Linked DNA regions of Saccharomyces cerevisiae S288C. The gene in region 3 interacts genetically with the main gene of each other region. Each region holds a gene or a part of one and is shown on either strand. Other genes may lie near its edges.

Region 1 (3,667 bases), on a different chromosome or scaffold from region 3:
ACACTTAACGAGGACATTCAAGGATGTAGGGTTTACAGGCATCAAGTCCTCGGTCCTAAGTTTGAAAACTGGTGACTTCAAAACAGATATGGGCTTTTTGAATGAATTTAATTCTTTAGATATGTGGGACTACATGTTAAGGAGGCAACTACCAGATAGTAGTTGTCCTCCAAAGGATACCGACCCCACCACTCTTTTCAAAAGATATGTGGAAGAACACATAGGAAAAATCGATGACAACGCTGGCTGCTTTAGAACTTTGTATGTGGTGGCGCAAAAGCCAAAGCTGCCATATACCAAATAATTGTGCCGCCGTTCCAATTTTTTTTTAAATTGTTCAAGAATTACTTCAATTTTTACTACTGGACAAAAAGCATTATGATAAGGAGTAGTCTCCCAGTATCGTAGAACCAATTTGAAACACTTTAGCCAATATTTATTAATTTTTTTTACTTCCCATGGCATAGTACTTTGTAGGAAGATTATTTGTTCATTTACTACATTTATTACATCTATATTTATATATTCTATACCATTCATTTTTTTTTATGTTAAGCTTCTCTTGGGAATTGTTGGGGTATGAATGTTAGCAGAATGACCCAACTCTTTTTCTAGCATAACTCCTAATTTTTTATCTTCTTCAGAAACGTCACGAATTAAACTGTCCTTTTCATCACCAGAATAGTATTTTACGTCCACTTGGGAAGCCAAAGAGTGCTCTGTTTCCTGTAACGAGTCGACAGTAGCTTCGTCGATTAAAACGTATGCTATGTTAGAACCCGGGCAATCATAATTAACGTTTAGCAGAAGTCTTTCCATTATCCCTCTCAACCCTCTGGCGCCAGTTCCTTCCTTGAGAGCAAATTGAGCAACTTTCTTTAGCGCCTTTTGTGTAACACACAATCTTACCCCAAATTGCTTAAAAATATATTCATATTGATCCAATAAGGCATTTTTAGGTTCTTTTAATATATGAAATAAATCGTCTCTTTGTAGAGGCTGCAGAGCAGTTATAATTGGGACTCTGCCAATTAATTCAGGAATTAGACCAAAGCTAACTAAATCTGTGGGGGTGGTCAAGTCTAAAGCACACACTTTTTTTCCGTTATCTAATTCAACCTGCTCAAGCGTATTGCTAAATCTGAACTTCTTCGCTCTTTCTTTTTCAACTTCTTTACTATTCGATGATTCAACAGACTCTCCTGCCTTCTGTATTTTCTTCATATCTTCTATCCTTTTAACAATATGCTTATCTAAACCAACAAAAGCTCCCATAATCATGAAAAGAATATTTGAAGTGTCTACAACAAATACTTCGTCCTTCTTTGTTGTAGTTTGATTTTTTTGTCCGTCAATATCATGCTTAACAGGCCTTTTAACGGTAATTTCCACTTTATGGCCCTCAATGATTTTCAATAATGACTGTTGAACCCCTTCTCCGGACACGTCTTTAGTGCCAATGCTTGCGGCAGGCTTGGCTAGTTTATCAATCTCATCAAGAACAATAATACCTTTTTCTGCTCTCGCAACATCAAATTCAGCATTTACGAGCAATCTTTCAATGCATACTTCAACATCTTCACCTATGTAACCTGCTTGAGTCAATTGTGTACAATCTGTAATTGCAATTGGAACGTTTAATATTTTCGCCAATGTTGTTGCCAACAAAGTCTTACCAGAACCTGAGGGACCAACGACAAGGACATTACTTTTGCTTAACTCTAAATCTTCGTCAACCTCTCTACCTGCTAAATTAAACTGTCTTTGAAGATTCCTCCAACCAGCCTTTGATTCGCTGTTTCCACTGAAAATTGGTTCATCCCTATCATCCGCGATTTTCTCTCGTTCCATCAATTCTCTCTGCCTTTGTAATTCCCCTTTCTTTTGCTTGTCATTGATTCTTAAATAGTGATTATAAACTGCCACGCTTAAAACCTTCTTACCAATCTCTTGACCAACAATGTACTCATCGAGGAATTTCTTCAATGCTTTTGGAGTGGGTATATTCGATAAACGAGACTGTGCCAGTTTCCCTGATGCTGTAGCAGCATATCGACCAATTCTACTAGAATAAGCTCTAAAAAAGTTTTGGCTTGCAGATTTCAACATGAGTGTGAAATGTAATTAGAGTGCCTTGTCTTCTATGGTTTTGTTTGATGAGCCGTTTGCTTTTCTTTTTAATTTTAATATATACCACTGATGACTTATTCCCTTCTATCATCGAAAAAATATTGTCAAATTAATGTTCTCTTTTTTCAAAAAATATTAAAAAGATAAGAAAGGTACCATGTCGCAGAAAATACAGCAGCATCAGTTTCCTGATTTTTATTGTTGTTATCTACTACAATCGATTAACAAGAGGCAATCATTTTACGTTGGATCAACTCCTAACCCAGTACGACGTTTGAGGCAGCATAATGGGAAATTGGCTGTTGGAGGGGCATATCGAACCAAACGTGACGGTTCAAGGCCCTGGGAAATGATAATGATTGTGCGGGGCTTCCCAAGTAAGATAGCAGCTTTACAGTTTGAACATGCATGGCAACATGGGTACCAAACGCATTATATTGCCGAAAAAGATCGTGTTGTAAAGCATAAAGCAGGTGGAAGAACTTTACATCACAAAGTTGCATTAATGAAGTTACTTTTAAAGCATGAATTTTTTCAAAGGATGAACTTGATAGTCGAGGTTTTTAATATAAAGGCTTGGGAGGTTTGGAAACAGGACAAATTTTTTATTGAAAGAGACAGATTTCCGATTAATATACAAATAAATGAAAATGCGCTTGAAGAACCAAAGGAGAAAACTGTGGATGTTCTCATGGATCATAGTGATGAGAATTTAAAAGTGGTGGAAGCTGTATACACTAAAGTCATTGAAAATGAAAGAAACATATTCGAAACTTTCGAAAAGAAACTAACTACAGGGGTAGTGCGATGTGAAATTTGTGAGAAAGAAATTGACTACACGTCTGAAGAGCAAAATCTGAAGCCGTTTGTAGCGCTTTGCAATAATAAAGACTGTGGGTGTGTTAACCACTTGAAATGTCTTCACAGGTACTTTCTAGATGATGAACAGTTGATGGTAGGGAGAAGAAATTTGATACCTCGAGGTGGGAAATGTCCGAAATGTGATATGTTTTGCGACTGGACGACCCTAGTCAAGTTTTCGACAAGAATGAAGTTAGCTCACGGGAAGTAGGGCCTGACACAATTTTCGGTTCTTTTTTTTCTATAGATAATGGTTATATGTTATATTTACGGATATTTTTACGTTTACTTTGTAAGAAAGAGCTAAAAAGATGTAAAGATATCACTTCGTTTTTTTCCCTCAAAAAATAACTTCCCAATCTTCAGTTATGTCAAGCGATAGGTTAAGAATGGTGATCTTATTATCATTCTCATATGACGATCTAGTCGGCAATGAACTTTCTTCGCCATTTTTTTTGACTTTAATACTGTCTTTCAACGTTATGTTGTGTTGTAAATTATTCTTTGCGATAATGATTTTTTCAATATTGGTATTCCTCAAAGTATTGTGGTGAATGCCTGTCAAATTCTCGGGAATATGACTTCGAACATTTTTTAAGGTATTGTTTTCGAAAATGAACTGAGTTTCTACGTACTCACCTCTTTGGTAGCCAAAAGTTTCTCCATCATCAACATA
Region 2 (7,817 bases), on a different chromosome or scaffold from region 3:
CTTAGAAAAAAGGAAAAAAAGGATACGGTACAAAGATTCAATAATTGTATCAATATTTCGAAAAATACTTTATCAAAAAAGCAATACTTGAAGGAGAAAGGAAAAAATTCGCTGTCTTCTTCACTTTTACGACAAAGAAAAATGTGCCCTTTTCAACTAAAAGTCATGAATGAATAAATAAATGATTACATATGCGTATATTTTATAGTGAACAACTTCTGACATATTATCCCGAATGTGAGTAATCATGCTTGTGCTGTGAATCTGTGTTGGTGTTTGGCTGTGACCCTGCCAAAAAGGTGCTCGAAGTGCCGGAAACAATTCCACTTTTATCCAAACTGCTCGTAGTGGACGAGTGGGATAACGTTCTTGTTAAATATTTTCCAAAAAGTAAACTGTTTGGGCCAAATGAGTCGCTATGTTCTAATACAAATTGGCTATGATTGGACCCTGAGGTGTGATGATCCCTTCCAGAAAAGCTTGCCTTTTTATTGGGGTTCTTGTGCGAAATTATTCGAGCAGTAATCATGTTATTCCTGCTACGATTGGCCTCACTGAGAGTACGACTATATCTTTCTATCTCCTCAGCGAAATTTTCCTCAAAAAGACGCACTAGAAGATCATGTGATGGTTTTAGATCCTTTGATGGTAGTAGTTCTGCATGCAACGTTAGACAGCGACCTAATACTGCAACAAGCTCATCAAAAGCTAGCGTCAATCTTCCTAAATCATCAGTACTGAACTGCTTGGATGTGGAGGGTTCTAAAAAGGCCTTGTACTGTGATATGCCTCCATTAACTGGAGCTGATATTGTTCCCGTAATATTTGTAGAAAGCTCGGTAAATAAATCGTTCACATCACCGTGGTCCTTCAGAGTTTTATTGCACATGTTTTCAAGCCCATATAACTCCTGTATTTTAACTTGTAAGGAACGAATTGCATTTTCAAGTGGAGAAAGTTTGCTCTTCGTAACCTTTACAATTTCTGATCTATTCATTAGTGTTGGAAAAGTATTCATAGTATGATACGTATATTCCTCCACCCACAGGTCAGTGACTCCTTTTGCGCCTGGCAAACGTCGAGAATTACTGAAAGTCCTCAAATCTCTATTCTCAATGTACATCCGCACTTTGTTGTTAATTGAGCTTTTCTTGTCACTACTGTTGTAATTATCGGATATACTTAAGCACGGTTCGACGGAAGCTACATGAATGTATTTTCCCATTGGAGGATTCATCAATAACATATCCACTTCTTCTTGTGAGTGTACAATATTTGACCCATGATAGCTTCGTAGAAGCCTGTCATGCATAGACGTAATGTGTTCAAATGGGAGACCCTCAAAGACGAACGATTTATTTCTTAATGATTTTGGAAAACCAAATCCCATGAAAGAAACTTTAAAATACGTTGGAACCAGTCTATCAATGGACTGTAATCTGGTATAAATGCCTGCTATTTGGTCATGTACAAAGGCCAGCCCGTTTAAATCATAATTGATCTCATCGTAGGCTTTTATCAAGTCCTTGTATACCGCTAAAGCTTTTTCTGGTTTTTGGCCTCTCGAAAAGTTTCTTGCGGATTCCTTAAGAAGATATTCCTTCCTCTCAAATGAAGATTGCTCTGGCAATGGCGGGAAAGATATTGCTTCAAGAGTATCATTAGAATCCCAAGCGTACGTACCTGCCAAGAGTTCTAGACTCAAAGCTGCTTGAACAAAGTCTTTTTTCTGAATAAAGTGGATAAACAAATCATATATCATTTTATGAAACAACTCTGGCCTGTTTGCTTCTAGCAAGTACTCGAACATCTCTATGTGCCGAGCAGTCCGATCATCATCAAATTCTTCTTGATTAGGTATTTTGTAGATTTCATTTACAATATGCAAAAAACCAAGTAAATCTCTTAAGAAATCCATACAAGCAGGAAAAAAGGTGTCAGAATCGGGAACGTGCATCATAAAAAACAAACAAGAAACAAACCTTTCCAATTCGTAATCATTCAAACGAAGCTTCCCGATTTGGTATGCGCTGAATAATTCTGGGATACATGCGTTCACTGCTGGTTGTAGGGACCCAAATATCCTCCAAAAATTTAGCCCTAATCCCCATAGTATTTTGCAACAAATTCTTGTTGCATCGATATGTCTATGGAAAGCAAAAATAAAGATCTCACGTATCAAAAATTGATTATGAACAAACAATTCAAATTGGCAATCACTCAAGGCTCCTAATCCATACTTTTTAGCATAAGTGATATTATAGTGCCCAGTGGCTAGGGCATCCCAACATTCATTTAGGATATATGCTGAAATTTTTTTCAGGTCACCCGATATCAAATAAACGGCCTTACGTGGAGTAATAGCTAACTTAGTCAAGGATGCACTTTTATGGTTTGAAACTAGTAGTATGACTTTTACATATTCTGCCCAAAGTCGCATGTCAACCCTCTTTTCAGACTCCTTTGATGGAGAAGGTGAATTATTTTCTATGATATAATCCTTGCATAAACTAAGCAATATTAGAGACGATCTTCCTAATAACGCTGATACGCCAAGCCACTTCATTCCTGGGAACCAATCTTGTTTAAAAAACAAAAAAACTGTTTTGGTTATTGTATAGACATTTTCATTCGTGATTTGTCGTGAATAAAAATTTGATTGAAAAAGAGTGTCTTTATCGCACAAGTTTATGATTTCGCTGAAAGATTGATATGATGGAAATCTGCTTGATGCAATTTTCGTTATTTCACAAATTATGATGGCAAGCTCTAGAAGAACTTCTACGACTACTTCATCATTCACTATTGAATCAACCGGTATGTAGTTGCATGGAATTTCTCTGGGAAAAAGCATGGTAAAAACTCTTCGAGGCCTCATTAAACGTGCTTTCTTACAGTACCTTCTTAAATGGACGAAGGACTTACACAAATATGGTAGTAACCTTATCAAGTTCCTTTGTAGCATGTCAAATTTGTAATCTTCGATTATTGTAATGAAAACAGAATTAACCAAGCGTAAGGATTCTACGTGAAAACATTTGTCATCGCCTGGAGTATACGGCGTAAGTAACCACTCAAGGGTTTTAGATAAAAACTGTAACCTCAGTTTATCTACGGATTCCGTATTGGTTAAATAATTTTGCAAAACCTTCTTGTTAATTAACTTCAACAGGCAATTAAACTTTGTATTCAAATATTCTTCTTCTCGAACTGAGAGTGGCCTGGAGTACATTTTTTGATTCATTTCTTTTTCCTGGCAACATTCAAACAGTCCGATCGCAAAACGAACTAAGTCTTCCACCTTACAGTGATTGGTCATTGTCTCCAGCATAGAGGGAATACTTTCTATTAACAAAATTTGATCCGCCATTATTGGCTCATCAGCAAGCATTAAAAATTTGTGCAAGCTTCTGAAAAAATGACTGAAATTAGGCATTTCATCAGAATGAGACGAACCGATTGCCAACACAATTATGTACAGGATGGTTCGGCAGATTGCAGTTCCTGTTCTAGTCCAAGAAGAATGACTCCTATCAAAGATCGTTGTCATATGTTTTATTAGTATCGGTGCAACATTGGGACATTCTAGTTCCTTTGACATGACTTTTTTGTACAGTCTATTAAACCAATATCTAGAGTTTTCTTGGTGTGTTAACATTAAATTTAAAAACTTGACGAATTCACTGAATACAATATTGGGTAAACTTGAAGAAGGGCCTTTTTTATCAGTAGCTTCATTCACCGATTCAAGAAGTAACAAATAGTGTGCTAAAATTGTGTCAAAATGCTTTAGTAAATCTTTAAAAGAAACGTTATTCAGCTGCTTCAATGTAACTGAATAGTGCTCTTTAAGTTGCTGGTCGAATTCAACATTTTTGGTTTGAAGAACTAAGAAATTTGTAATGGCAGGGTTGATATTATATCTCCGACCAAAATATGATGCTTCAAGCTCTAAATGAATTAGAGGTACTGATTTGGATGACATTATTTGGAATACGGTACCCTTTCTATATTCTATGATTTCGTTCTTTTTCTTGATATGTATATTTGATTTTGCCATCAAAAATCCATTCAAATATACCAATACTCTTAATGTCTCGTCTTCGTTCATGTTCTCTACCCCTTCTATTCTAATCGATTCGCCTATGCTCTCATTTGGACGAACTGAAACAAACTTCCAGTCCCCAGATCTCTCTTCGAGCTTATTTTTGCAAAATTTTACGGCCTTATTCCTGCAGGATATTTGAACGGTAACATTTTCTATATTTGTATCAGCTGCAGGAAGTCCATAAAGCGACACCCTACCTAAGTTCAGATAAATTCTTTCTGCTTGGCTAAACATGGTATCATAAAAGTATGTGGGAATAGATCTTATCGGTACTAAAGATGTGGAGAGCACTTTTTCCGCCTCTTGTTTGCCTATAATTTCCTTTACAGTTACCGATAAAGAAACAGCCCTAGGGTTCACAGAAACGCCTTCAGAAGAATCTTTTATTATCTTATTTATTAACCCGCCCCAACCTAAATCCGCATCCTTTGAAGAGTTGAAGTTTTGCGAATCCGAGGAATCGGAGCTATAAAGATAAAGGTTAAACCTCTGAGCTTTATTCGCAACTGATAGGCCGTTATAAAACTTGAATACCGGAGATATGTTAATAACTCCGGCAGCTAAGCCCTTTTTTACGTGGTCAATCTTATTCTCAGTCGATGAATTAAATGGAGAAAATGGGGAATGTGAACTTGACTCTTCGGTAGATATATTGTAAGATGAAATTTCCGGAGCAGTTTCTGTTGTAATTGCTATTGTTTCCTTCAGCACTACTACTAAGTATACTTTATTTTTATGGACTATCGTTTCCAAAATATTCTTGAATAACATTGCAGGAATTTCATCTAGAGCTGATTCCATATTGGACGACTTCGTCATGGTAAAAGACTCTGTTAAAACTTCGTCTTTGGTTCTCAAGTATACACAAATAGAAAGATCTTGATATTTAGGATCTGATATAGAGGGATCCCATGCCAGATCTTTCAAGTTAACCAAAATGCTCGATCTAACTGTGCCGAATAGTCCGTTAGATGAGGACTCATCATCGGACTCTACCACAGGTACAGTAGGAAAATTATTAGTTAAACCACAAAGCATTGACGATGACACTAAAGTTCTTAATTTGTCGATCTCGTATGAGAGCAATTCGCCAGTATCAATATCCCTGGCAAAAATTCCTTCGAAACCATAAGGATCTGGGTTTCTTGGAGTAGAGTTAGCAATTAGTTTATTCTTCCTGTATGTGGAGGACAAAAATTTTGCGATTTTAGTTCTTAGGGATGTTGCTGCTCTTATCAGATTTATTTTCTCAGCCTCTGTGGTTAAATTCATAGACAATCTAAATCGTATAGTGTCCAAATCATAATAAAGTTTTATCATTTTCCTATATATAGAAAACTCGCCAATTGAATACATAGAGTAAACATGCGAGGAAATAAGAGATAATATAGGACCCATTTCGTCCTTAAAGGACCTCTTTTGGTATCTGAAAAAGGGGAACGGAGGTCTCGGTGTCTTTCTTGGTTTACCAGTTGATATATCATCAGTAGAGCTAACATATAGGCTGTCACAAAAGGAGCGGGACTCACATTCTTTACTTATCAATGGTTTAAAATCCTCAGCACTAGGTGCTTTGAAAAATGGCATTGTGCTGACGGCTTTTTCTGCTTCAAAATGAACATATTTTCTAGGAAATATCACTACTTTCGGTTTCACGTCTGGCAGTACATCATTCGCCGAGTTCATATTCGATATGAATTCTTCAGGAAAGGGTCGTAAACATTGGTACGCTCTACACCATTTCTTATCCACAGATTCTTCGAAGACGTAAACTTCTGCACCCACATAAACGTTCGCATAATTGCTGTTTTCATATACCAGCTCAGGATACCTTTGTAAGGGAAGGAAAGATTTGACTAGCACACCATATATTAGCCGATCCGTGGGCAGCCAGCGCTGTGAATCCTGTTGCGACATTGTAATAGTAATCTCCCTAAAGAAAAAAAGACCCCTGTTTTATATGACTAATCTTCGGTCCTCTATAATTTCAATTGAAGCAATAATTGACTGAGTGGTGTACAAACGGTTGCTTGAACCATTTATATTATTTTCAACTCATCAAGTCATCCCCTCCTTGATATGCGTTATTGATATATTTCAGTTAAAATTCCTCCGTATTTCGTGATATATTATTCGCGAGGTGGCGAAAGCTTTGCTACTAAATACTCTACTATGACCAGTAGATTAGGTTCTATAAGGGTGCCAGAAAACTACCTAAGTGCTGGTTGACTTATAAATTTTAAAAGAGTGTTGATGAGTATGAGTTCAACTGTAATTAAATTCAGGGCTGGTGTTTGTGAATACAACGAAGATTCACGTCTATGTACGCCAATTCCAGTTCAGGGTGAAATCGAGATCAAACCAAATGAAGAGGAAGAATTGGGATTTTGGGATTTCGAGTGGCGTCCAACGGAAAAGCCGGTCGGGAGGGAACTTGATCCTATTTCTTTGATTTTAATTCCTGGAGAGACCATGTGGGTTCCAATAAAATCCAGTAAAAGTGGCAGAATATTTGCTTTAGTTTTTTCATCCAACGAAAGGTACTTCTTTTGGCTGCAAGAGAAGAACTCAGGTAATTTGCCCTTAAATGAATTGAGTGCGAAAGATAAAGAAATTTACAATAAGATGATTGGAGTGCTGAATAATAGTAGTGAAAGTGATGAGGAAGAAAGCAATGACGAAAAGCAAAAAGCTCAAGATGTGGATGTTAGTATGCAAGATTAAATCAAGGTTGTGGCATTTTTTGATAAAAAACTGAAGAGAAAAAATATACCATATCAACGCATTTGGCTGTGAACTTCTGTAAAGAGATACGGACCATAACAATAGGCATGATGATGGCATCTATAACTTCTATTGGAAGGTAAGTTTATTTTTCCCATAAATATGTATATATGGTCTATACTCTCAAATGAGCCTACATATTGTTGCATATTAACGAGGTTCCCATCTCACCGACCAACTTAGTTTATCACCTGCTTTAAATGGGATGATGCTTATGTCTTTGCCATCGCTGATAACCTGAGGGATAACTTGTTCTTTTTTGAATAATATTGCCTTATCTGAAGAAGCCACTTCGCTATCTTTAACCTCATAAAAGGAAATTCCGAAGTCGGAAACAAAGCCCTTTAAGTTCTCCAAGGCATTTTGCTCTTCAAAAACTTGGGCGATATAAGGGATCGCAAAAGATTGTGAGTAAACTCCTGCGCAAACACCCTCGTAATTGGCCTTATTTTGTACAGGATGAGGTGCTGAATCAGATCCAAAGAAAAAATATGGTTTCCCTGATACAGCAGCTTTGACTAGAGCCTTTTTGTCATTTGGAAGTTTCGCAACAGGTTTGCAAAAATTTACCGGATTTCCGGCCCAATCATCAATTGTTAAAAATAAGTGATGAGCCGTTAATGTGGCAGCAACCTTTACGTCAGTGGCTTTCTTCACGTTCTTATTTATATCCTCGATTGTCTTTATTGCCGACTCGCTAGTGCAGTGTTCCAGAATTATTTTCAGGTTTGGGAAATCATTATGCAATTTTTTCAAGGCTGGCAAAAAGGCTTCCTCTGCATTCAATACATGAATAGGTTCTTTGTCTCCATCATGGACAGAAGGTTTTTCCCCATGCAAATTTAATACCAGGTTCTCTTCTTGCATAGCCTTGAAAATTGGGTAAAATGCGCTGAAGTCATTTGGATCCACCCCAGCAGCCGAA
Region 3 (7,796 bases):
GCGTGACTTTTTCCATTCCAACTCATTTCGGATTACTCCTTTAACTAGCATCCTAGTCGATCTATCATGTAAATCTGCAAACTGTATGCTGATTTGATTGTAAATTGGTATCAACTGTCTCTCTCTTATTTTCAATCTCTTCGTAAGATCATTTTGTTTTTCCAAAGATAACTTTTTTTCTGTCAACGTTCTTCTCAAATGTCCATATGTGGAGTCTAATCGAATCATCGTCTCTATCATTTTCTCCTTACGGTATTTTATGCTAACTACTCCGTCAGGTTCTAACACACCTCCCCTAGATTCAACATCGGCATACATTTCCATTTGTTCAGGATTAATAGTTGGATCTATAACAACCCATGATCCGCCCCTTAATTCACCAAAGGGCGGAATGTATATCAGTATGGGTTGTTTGTAGTCAACCAGAGCGTCAACAATAAAAGACCCGTACTTTAGTACTTCATTGTACATATCCCTTTGACCGCCAGAAAATCCCCTCCAATTGGCTAAGATAATCAATGGTAATTGCTCACCATAGTTAAAATCATTTATAGTTTGAGCTGTTTTGAACGCGGAATTTGGATACCACACCTGTCCTGCTTCTTTAACGGAAAACTCTGAAGAATCCAGATTAGCTGGGTCAGCGGGGATTATTTCTTCGATAGTCTTAGTTTCTACCGCAATAACACCCACGGGAATACCTCCAAGACGTGCTCTTCCAACTATTACACCTTTGGCCCATCCAGATAATGTCTCAAAAAACGAATCCTTATCAAATAGGCCTGACTGGAAGTTGTTATTTGAGTCCCATTTACCCTCTATCAACCACCTTGCCTCATATGGCACTTGCTTGGCAGGTTTGAAGTCTACATCCCTATCCCATCTATCCATAGTTTCAAGAAGTGGAGGACTCATATCTCTTTTCGCCGGGACATATGATAACCATGTCATTATTTTTTCGATGGCTTTCATATCATTACTGGCTGTTAAATGCGCTATTCCGTTTTTATACATGATTTGGGTTCCGCCAATTTGTAGGTTAGATGTATAGATATCGGTACCCAAAACTTTATTAATCGCCGATGCACCCGTCAGTATGATAGGCTTATCCTCCACCTGAATAGTACGTTGTCCTAGTCTGACCAGATAGGAACCTATACCAACGGACCGACAAGTAACAGCAGTAATAGTGAAAATGTCTCTATACGCTTTCGAAGTGGCACCAGCAATTAAACCCGAGCCCTGTAAACATTCAACACCTAAACCCTCTTCGAATCCGACTATTGCTTTAATAATATATCTCTCTTCACCGTATACCATCTTGTGTTCAACAACAACCGAATTTCCTTTCCCAGAATCTTTCAGTAGCTGCATGTCTTTTGGAGCTAAGTATAAGTACTGGAAACCCTTTGTTGGATCAGAGGGGTCATTCCATGCTACACGAAATAGAGGGATCAGCTCTTCGGCTATACCCAATTTAGCTCCTGAATTCGCCGCCAAGTATATCCTCGGGATCCCTCTCTCTCTTGCATAATTTGTGACCCTATCAAAAAACAAATCTTCTCTCGGTCCAAAAGATCCAATATTGTAGGTAATATCATTAGAAATCACGATCATGTTACGCCCTTCAGGATATTCAGGTGTCTGAACCATAATCTCAAAAGCAACCATCCCTATATTATTAAGGCCTGGCTCCCTGTTTACTTTTATTAAATTACCGTTTTGTTCTATCAATTCAACCCAACTAAAAAAACTGTCATTCAGCTTATGTTTTGGAAAATACCTTTTCCACTGTTGGATTGCAGCTTGATGAAACAGACCTGGGAAATCGTACACATATGTTGTACCCATGAATTGAGCTTTGTACCTTTTAGGTTGTAGCCAATCCTTGACCGAGTAAGGAAGAGAGAGAGATTTCTGGCTATAATGGCTCTGCTCACTACACGGTTCCAAAATCAGATTCCCATTTTTCCCTATCTTTTCGTAATATGTCTCAATTTTTACCACATACCCAGATTTATTAGAAATAAGTAATCTAAGCGGGGCTGGCTTCTTTGTTTCTAGGCACTCAACAGAGATGCAAATTTCTACATCTGTGATTCTTTCTTGAAACAATCTGGTTTCGTGAGTCTTTAGAATTGTACTCACAATTTCCTCGAGACGATGTACTGGTATGTTAAGAACTGTATTGAAACTTAAAAAAATATGATTCAAGTCTGAATTTGAGATGTCAACTGCTCCTAGATGTTCTAACATATAAACCACTTGAGCATTGATTTCCGCTTTCAAGTTTTCTTCGGTTGTTTTTTGATCATTATACATGAAGGAATTTATGATTTTCCTGACAAAGAACCTTTTATCTAGCGGCGTAAATTTGCTAATACCTTCAAAAATGCGTATACTACTATCGTATGTAGGTAGTGATCTGATTTTATAGTTCGACATTTTTCCTAACTCTAACGGTGCTTCATAGGATGGATCCATATTTCTTATTTGAGAGATTTCATCGTACGTAGTTCCATCAAAGGAGTAAAATTTAACAGCGGGCGCATTCGCGGCGATAAATGCAAATGTAATACGATTAACCTTGAGCTTGGATAGACCTCTCTCATTTTCATGAAGTTTAATTTTTAAAGTTTTAATTAGATCATTTTCACTTCTGTAACGAATAGGAGATAAAATATTAACAATAAGAGAGTTCTCTCCGCTGGAAAGTCTTTCCTCAGGAATATGAATTTGTTCGTATACCTCGTCTAATGTCTTTTCCAGAGATTCAAGCGCACGCATGTTGACAAGAAGACCAAAACTATTTGCTGAGCTCTTACCTGATGTTGAGGGAGGTTTAGAAAGTTTTGTAAACTCATCACTCTCACCATCAGAATTGACTAAATAATTTCTTAATGAGCTGAATTGCCATGACATTAGTAAATCAGGCGCTCCTTTATGAATCTTAATACTTTTTAATTGATAATTGCCGTAGGCATACCTTGCATAAATTTCAGATGCTATACTGGAAAGAGCCGTATCTTGATGGCCAAAAAAAAAGAACAAATCCTGAAGTTGTATCAGATTTGAATGTATTAAATTACCAAAATCCCTCATACAGGAATATATGTTCCTGCTGTGAATGTTTTCGGCACCAGTATCCTTTATGTGCAATTGCAGGAGAGTTTTAATATGCTCTTTTCTTTTCTTTATGGGAGGGAAAATCCCTCTGAGTAGCACTGATCTTGCCTTTACAGCAACCTCTTTAGCCCACTTAGATTCCAAACTTGCCAAATCATGTATAACAGCCCTGAATTTTAAAGACATCTTAGAGGAATCCTGGCACAATGGCTCGTATTCATGCAATATTGCAGTTACTAACTTGTTCTTTGCGACTACGTTAGCATGCGATAAACTTATGCACAAAATTTTTTTCAAGTTTGTAAGGTCTTTCCTCCGCAGATTTAGTAAGTTTCTTTCTTCATGTATATCATGATTTTCAAAAATTTTCTCAACAGCATAGTACTTTTTAATCAACTTTAAAAAAATTTCACATTCGTGATTAGCTAAACCTTCGCTATACCTTTCACTAATTTTAAGAAGTGGCTGTAAGGCAACATAAACTACATGATCATTTGTATTTTCTTCCAAGTAGCGCTTCATTAATTTGTGCAGTTCCTTTGCAGGAAAAGAAACAGATTTCTTGACTAGATTTCCCAGCCCCTCATTCAATTGCCTTGGTAGTCTATTGCGTACCGTAGAAATTTGGGAATCCCATTCTGAATAAGGAAGCCTACCATCTCTCAATATTTTTATCAACTCTTTTAGAGTAGTTTCTATTCCAGAGTTTTCATGATATCCATTGAGAATATTTTCTAACCTATTTATTAAGACTCTGAGCTTATGGTTTGGTCGGCTACCCTCTATTAGCGGTGGACCTAAAACAGGTAATTCTCCGCGGTATAAAGACGATTCGTTAGCTTTGGACGGCGAATCCAAAGTCAATTTTGCGATGACATCACCAGCCTCAATTATGGAACCGGGCTGTCTTAGTAACTCAATTACACCATCACTTTTCGCTACTAGTGGCATCTGCATTTTCATTATTTCTATTTCTGCATATTGCTGTCCAGCAAAAACGTGATCACCACTTCGGACCAAATATTTCACCAATTTCCCCGGAGTTGGAGAGATCACTTGAGTGGGATTGAGTTCAGCTTCTAAAAATATGGTATTGGAGTCTATCGAAAGTCTTGTACCTCTGATATCGTCCTTCCAATAAACTGTATGGCATTTACCGTCAACGGAGATCAACAAGCAGTCACTGGACAATTTTTGAACATTAACTTCACATTGAGACTTATTGATAGAAAGAATAAATTGTTCTTCAGATGATTGAGCAACATTGAACAAGTATCTATTATTATCGAAAATGAAGTCAACAGGAAACTTCGTTTTAAGAAAATCTTTAGGTGGAACTTGGCCCCTCCGCAATAATTCCAAATACTTATTCCTCACCTTTTCTGTGAAAACGTATGCTTTCATTGCGGCACCACAGATAATAGCGAGCGTTGGATCTAGTTTGCTATCGGAAGATAAATTTTTCAAAATCAAATCATCTAACCAACCAGTCGATATGTTATTACTCTCAAAGTCCCGAGTTTCTAATAGCTCTATCAGGTACTCTATGGGGGTTTTGAATTCTCCTCGGATGGAAAAATCTTTTAGAGCTAAAACCATGTTTTGCTTTGCATCTTGCCTATCGTTTCCTACAGCAAAAATGTGCCCAAATTGGGAATCTGAAAATGAGTGAATAGCACCATTATTTCCTACTGAGAAGTAACCCCAAACATTGGAAGAAGAACGAAAATTGAGCTCATGTATTTTCCCAGTGGAGGGCTTGAAACCTTCATTAGGATCTTCTGAAGTGATCCTGCATGAAATACAATGGCCTTTTGGCGAGGGTCTCTTTAAATTTTTAAAATCAATATACGAAGTTCCCGTTGGATCTAAACCATAAAGTTTTCTGATATCACTTATCATGTGCATAGGAATGCCCATGGCGATTTGCAGTTGAGTGGCAGGAAGGTTTACGCCAGATATCATTTCTGTCGTTGGATGCTCTACTTGTAGTCTCGGATTCAGTTCTAAAAAGTAAAATTTATCATCTTTTGGTGAATATAAGTATTCGACAGTGCCCGCAGAAACATAACCTACCAATTCACCTAGACGAATTGCTGCGCGTTCCATCCTTTGAAACGTTTCAGGCTTGGTTATTGTCACTGGTGCCTCTTCTATAATCTTTTGGTGCCGCCTTTGTATGGAACAGTCTCTCCCAAACAATGTAATGTTAGTGCCATATTGGTCAGCTAATAACTGTACCTCTAAGTGACGAGCATCAGTGACAACTTTCATAACAAACATAGGCGACCCAGGTGTCTCATTCACTGCTTGGCGATATAATGCAATAAAATCATCCTCATTATCTACTCGCCTAATGCCCTTACCTCCACCACCTTCGGATGCCTTAATCATTACAGGAAATCCTATTAATTTAGCCTTTTCTAAAGCATCTTCAGGTGAGGAACAACATCCCCTTACATATACATCATCCGGCACAGATACAAAGTTCGTCTTGTTATCGATATGGATAGTGTCTATATGTGAACCAGACCAAGGGATACACGGGATTTTAGCGCTTTGTGCTACAATAGTGGAAGAAATCTTGTCACCCAATGATCTCATAGCGCGTCCAGGAGGACCAATGAATAGTATTTTCCTTTGTGAACTAGCTAACAGCTCAGGAAGACACGGATTTTCAGAAGCATGGCCCCATCCAGCCCAGACCGCATCCACATCCGTTTGCTCTGCCACGTCCAGTATTAAGTCTATGTTGGCGTAATTGTTGTTGTTGGTACCCCCTGGTACCTGCACATATTGGTCTGCCATTCTAATATACTCCGAATTTGCGTGTAAATCATCAGGTGTCGCCATTACCACGAATTGAATGATTTTTTCATCATTGAACGTCTCGTACGCCCATTTTCTTATAGATCTCATTTCTTTCACCGCAGCAATACCATTGTTTGCTATTAAGATCTTTGAAATAACAGTATGTCCACCACGTAAATCAACAAAATCTCTTAATATTGAAGGTTGGGCACTTTCCACAGTATTTAGCCCTATGAACTGGGGCGGTAATCGAGTATGTTTATGAATATTGCCTCGATCCACATAATTGGAATACCTTCTTCTAGATGGAAAATTCAAACCTATTCGAGATGAATGCCTATACGAATGGGCAAAAATGCGTTTTCTGTATTCAGGGCGCTGTCCTTTCAACCGTACTATCTGGCTGCCCGTTATATTATAGAATCGATAAGGATCCAAATATAACGCGAGCTTGTACTGTCCTATTCGAATGCAAGTAATTGTGAATATGGTAATGTAAAAGTGAGAATGTATCCGGCGAGCCCCCCAGCTTTGGCCGTGTGTAATTGTCTTCCCTTTCTACCCAAGATGACTTCTTCTTTATCATTCTTCATTATTCATCTTTTCTTGTCATCTGCCGCCCACCCATTTTAGTTACCCTAACGGAAACATTGATGAATGATGCTATTATTACTGTCATAAGCAATAAAAAGAGAGGTTCCTACTACTTCTCCCGTGGAAAGCTAGCGATAGCCTTGTACTCTATCTCACTTTCAGAATGCGTACACATTTATGTTTAAAGAGGCGTTTTGTGCTAGTTTTGTCTCAACGTGTATTTTATCGGTTGTAATTGTACTGACAATTTTCGGGCCTCGTTTGGCTGTCGCACTGAAATCTTCGACAGGGTATCGAAGAACGATACAACGATATGCCTATAAAGGTTAGTTAGCCATGATATTACTTCCTGGTTAGCTGGTGCGCTTCTTAGTCCTAACTTGCAAATTTATATCTACGTATAGAAAACTGTCAATATGTCATTACCGTTCTTAACTTCTGCACCGGGAAAGGTTATTATTTTTGGTGAACACTCTGCTGTGTACAACAAGCCTGCCGTCGCTGCTAGTGTGTCTGCGTTGAGAACCTACCTGCTAATAAGCGAGTCATCTGCACCAGATACTATTGAATTGGACTTCCCGGACATTAGCTTTAATCATAAGTGGTCCATCAATGATTTCAATGCCATCACCGAGGATCAAGTAAACTCCCAAAAATTGGCCAAGGCTCAACAAGCCACCGATGGCTTGTCTCAGGAACTCGTTAGTCTTTTGGATCCGTTGTTAGCTCAACTATCCGAATCCTTCCACTACCATGCAGCGTTTTGTTTCCTGTATATGTTTGTTTGCCTATGCCCCCATGCCAAGAATATTAAGTTTTCTTTAAAGTCTACTTTACCCATCGGTGCTGGGTTGGGCTCAAGCGCCTCTATTTCTGTATCACTGGCCTTAGCTATGGCCTACTTGGGGGGGTTAATAGGATCTAATGACTTGGAAAAGCTGTCAGAAAACGATAAGCATATAGTGAATCAATGGGCCTTCATAGGTGAAAAGTGTATTCACGGTACCCCTTCAGGAATAGATAACGCTGTGGCCACTTATGGTAATGCCCTGCTATTTGAAAAAGACTCACATAATGGAACAATAAACACAAACAATTTTAAGTTCTTAGATGATTTCCCAGCCATTCCAATGATCCTAACCTATACTAGAATTCCAAGGTCTACAAAAGATCTTGTTGCTCGCGTTCGTGTGTTGGTCACCGAGAAATTTCCTGAAGTTATGAAGCCAATTCTAGATGCCATGGGTGAATGTGCCCTACAAGGC
Region 4 (3,488 bases), on a different chromosome or scaffold from region 3:
AGAATGGCACCCAATAAATGAATCTATGTTCACTCTGGCGTGCTATGACGGCTCGCTAAAGCATTTTGATCTTTTACAAAATCTAAACGAACCTATTTTGACTATTCCATACGCCCATGATAAGTGTATCACCTCGTTATCATATAATCCAGTAGGACATATATTTGCCACAGCAGCTAAGGATAGAACCATAAGATTTTGGACTAGAGCGAGGCCAATTGATCCTAATGCATATGATGATCCAACTTATAACAATAAGAAGATAAATGGATGGTTTTTTGGCATCAATAACGACATCAATGCTGTGAGAGAGAAGAGTGAATTCGGTGCGGCCCCGCCACCACCAGCTACACTTGAACCACATGCGTTACCAAACATGAATGGATTCATCAACAAGAAACCGCGTCAAGAAATCCCAGGCATCGATTCAAACATCAAGAGTTCCACATTGCCAGGTTTAAGCATATAAAAGTGCGCTTTGACGAGATTTTAGGATACATAAATAAAAAGACTATATAACATATTATTTGTGATAATATCTCTCATTTCTGGGGAATGTACCCCACAGGCACCACTGTTTACTTTTGTCGCTGATATCTTCATAGAATTTTTCTTTATTCTTTGGGGTATTCTTCTCGGTGTAATATTCAATGAAAAATAAATATCGCCAGTTTCTATCATGTTCGTCCAAATGGAATGGTCTAGAGTTTATAGAACACATGTTGAGTGAATGGATTTTTAGTATGTTCAAAACATCTACCAAAGAACCAGGGTCATCTTGACGAGTAGTAAAGGTGAGTAGGTTAACCCGTAGTAATCCAGTGTCTTCTACTTCATTGTCGCCTGCGTTCTCCCTTCTCTTCAATACTAAAAATCTTGTTGTATTTCCTAGCTTATCATTTATCGAATGTTCAATGATGTACGCCTTATGCAATTGGGCAGCTGTTTCACTAGCAATGGCTAAATGCAGAATGTTGTCGCAATCGGCCGTTGATGACCGAATGCATTGGTTCACTGATTCAGATGTGGAAGAACAATCCAATCTTATAAAGGTGACCTGCGGAAATTTTTCTGCCATGGACCTTAAGTAACATTCAACCTGGCCCCATACTTGCGGATGTGAGTGTATTATGACTTCTTCAAAATTTCCAAGGGATGCAATACCATTTGGTAGTTGGATTGGGCTGATTAGACAATGGGTAATGGGTACATATTGCTCCGCTATAACTTCTATATCTGGTGTAATTCTATTAGTATCTGCTGGAGCAGGTAAGGATAGGGCTTTTTTGATCATCCTATCACGCAAGAGATCATAGGAAAAAACTACTTGTCCATTGGTGGAATTTTCCAACGGTACCACTGAATAATCTATACTAGTGTCGTTCTCCAATTGGTTAAAACATTGGGGGATAGAGGCTGCTGGGAGGTACTCAACATCAGATGTTGATTGAAATTGTTGTAATGCAGCTTGATGGGAATACGTACCTTTGGGACCCAGAAAAAGAACCCTCAAAGTCTTGCTGGCCATAATTGAAGGATGAATGCGGAAATATAATGAAGTTGCTTTTCGTACTTTTTTAGCCTGTTCTTTCTGCGTATTATATTCATCTACTAAAATTTTTATTTTCATTTTTCATTATGAAAATACAAGAGTCATGCTGATAACTGTGTAAAGAAACTGTACGCTTGTCGCAGATGATGTAGTACGTATTTTATTTACAGGTGTCATTAATATATATATATATATATATATACGTATACGGAAGTAATTCTTCGTTAATTTTCCATGGACTGTGATAGCGAAATCAATTTCTCGACGGTGAATCCCGGAGAGGCCTTAGAGAAATCTCTTAACAACTGCACTCTCTGTTTAGCAACTGGAGTTTCTTCACCCATTGCACCATAAAACCTTTGCACGTTTAGCAATAACAGCTGTGCATCCTGTACATTCACGTTTGTATCCGGTTCAACATGGCCATTCATAAAAACAATTCCCTTATCCTTGACCAAATCAGAATGGAACTGCAAGGTAGTATGTGGCCTTGCAAATTCCTGGTGTAGTTTGTATTCTGCTAGGGAAGTCATCATACAATGTGTTGTTTGGGGTCCGACAAACTGCCATTGGATGTAGTGTAGTTCCATTCCCTGTTCTTCGTTCGGTTTTGCATCCTCAGATTGAACTTGTCTAGGAAGTGGCAACACGAATATAGGGTTATTCCTGGCATTTGCCATCATCTTATCATAAACGGAGACAGGAATCACAGCGCATAATGTATTATCTTTTTGTGCCCATCTTGCTCTCCAAAGAAACTCTACTTCCTGTTTCGATAAGTCCTTCAGTTTTCCAACATCCAAAAAAGAGTCCAATGTTTTGAAGGGAACTTTAGGAGCACTTGGATCGAGAGGACTTCTTGATTTCGTCATCAAATGCTTGGAGTTGTTATTTTCCATTTGAGTTTTTTGTTGGTAATCCTCTAGTTCTTTCAGGGGGTCGATTTTATTAAATTCCCGCTTCTTAGACTCTATAGTCTCTTTCAAATGATTTTTCAACTCTTCTATGCTGTTAAAACCTTGTTTTTGAGCCTCTTCCAAAAGTTTCTTTCTATACTTCTGCTCTGGGCTGGAAGAATAAAAACGAAAAACAGGAACTGTTCCAATTGCCTTGTTAAAAATGGGCGACAGCTGATTAGAAATATGGATTCTAGTGCCGATTTTTCTGGTTAGTCTCCACATAGTTATTCTTAAATCTCTTTTGTTCTCTATTTTCAAGTCTTGATAAGTTCTTCACATCCTTCGATTACGGCGTCAAAATAAGCGTTATTTCCATTCGGGTGAGTTGAACCATTGATAACAACATGGTTTAACGATACTTTGAAAGGTTTAGGCGGAGCCAACCATAATGGATGAATCGGTGGATCCTGTGGAGCTGCTTCTACGACTACTGATACGGCACAAACCTCATCTGAAACCATATGCCTACAGACAAGATAGCTGGCAAAGGGTGCTCGATGAGTACAACAGACAGACTGGGTCAAGATATAGACAATCAAGGACGTTAAAAACCAAATTTCGTCGACTGAAGGACCTCTTCAGCGCAGATCGAGCCCAATTCTCTCCTTCCCAGTTGAAGCTGATGGGAGCACTCTTGGACGAAGCACCAGAACATCCAAGACCAAGAACTAAATTCGGAAATGAATCATCTTCATCCTTATCATCATCTTCTTTCATTAAAAGTCATCCGGGGCCTGATCCGTTTCAACAATTATCATCCGCTGAACATCCGAATAACCACAGCTCCGACGATGAGCATTCAGGCTCACAACCGCTGCCCCTGGATTCAATAACGATTGGAATTCCGCCTACTCTTCACACAATCCCCATGATTCTGTCTAAGGATAACGACGTCGGGAAAGTCATCAAAAGCCCTAAGATAAACAAGGGTACAAATAGGTTCAGCGAGACAGTACTGCCTCCACAAATGGCTGCTG

Evidence for each region.
Region 1: mutations in HFA1 (region 3) and MCX1 together harm fitness more than expected from each alone (negative genetic interaction), as found in Saccharomyces cerevisiae (2 studies listed by BioGRID).
Region 2: mutations in HFA1 (region 3) and DCK1 together harm fitness less than expected from each alone (positive genetic interaction), as found in Saccharomyces cerevisiae (one large-scale study listed by BioGRID).
Region 4: mutations in HFA1 (region 3) and PHA2 together harm fitness more than expected from each alone (negative genetic interaction), as found in Saccharomyces cerevisiae (one large-scale study listed by BioGRID).

The regions. Positions count from the first base shown.
Region 1 is NC_001134.8:673,026-676,692, forward strand, and holds MCX1 (Mcx1p), read right to left. Parts: upstream 2,110-3,667; coding exon 547-2,109; downstream 1-546. Other genes in the region: YBR225W (uncharacterized protein), read left to right, coding at 1-304; SLX1 (endonuclease), read left to right, coding at 2,288-3,202; glucan 1,3-alpha-glucosidase ROT2, read right to left, coding at 3,332-3,667. UniProt on the Saccharomyces cerevisiae protein: ATP-dependent unfoldase that stimulates the incorporation of the pyridoxal phosphate cofactor into 5-aminolevulinate synthase (HEM1), thereby activating 5-aminolevulinate (ALA) synthesis, the first step in heme biosynthesis. Up-regulates heme biosynthesis.
Region 2 is NC_001144.5:964,105-971,921, reverse strand, and holds DCK1 (guanine nucleotide exchange factor DCK1), read right to left. Parts: upstream 6,026-7,817; coding exon 227-6,025; downstream 1-226. Other genes in the region: protein kinase regulatory subunit ATG17, read left to right, coding at 1-5; proteasome regulatory particle lid subunit RPN13, read left to right, coding at 6,362-6,832; URA4 (dihydroorotase), read right to left, coding at 7,043-7,817. UniProt on the Saccharomyces cerevisiae protein: Forms a transiant heterodimeric complex with LMO1, that acts as a guanine nucleotide exchange factor exchange factor (GEF) for the small GTPase RHO5. DCK1, LMO1 and RHO5 relocate to mitochondria upon oxidative stress and trigger cell death.
Region 3 is NC_001145.3:677,520-685,315, forward strand, and holds the start of HFA1 (acetyl-CoA carboxylase HFA1), read right to left. Parts: upstream 6,046-7,796; coding exon 1-6,045. Other genes in the region: ERG12 (mevalonate kinase), read left to right, coding at 6,948-7,796. UniProt on the Saccharomyces cerevisiae protein: Catalyzes the rate-limiting reaction in the mitochondrial fatty acid synthesis (FAS) type II pathway. Responsible for the production of the mitochondrial malonyl-CoA, used for the biosynthesis of the cofactor lipoic acid.
Region 4 is NC_001146.8:41,548-45,035, forward strand, and holds PHA2 (prephenate dehydratase PHA2), read right to left. Parts: upstream 1,529-3,488; coding exon 524-1,528; downstream 1-523. Other genes in the region: cleavage polyadenylation factor subunit PFS2, read left to right, coding at 1-469; ATP11 (Atp11p), read right to left, coding at 1,777-2,733; DAL82 (Dal82p), read left to right, coding at 2,900-3,488. UniProt on the Saccharomyces cerevisiae protein: Catayzes the decarboxylation/dehydration of prephenate to phenylpyruvate.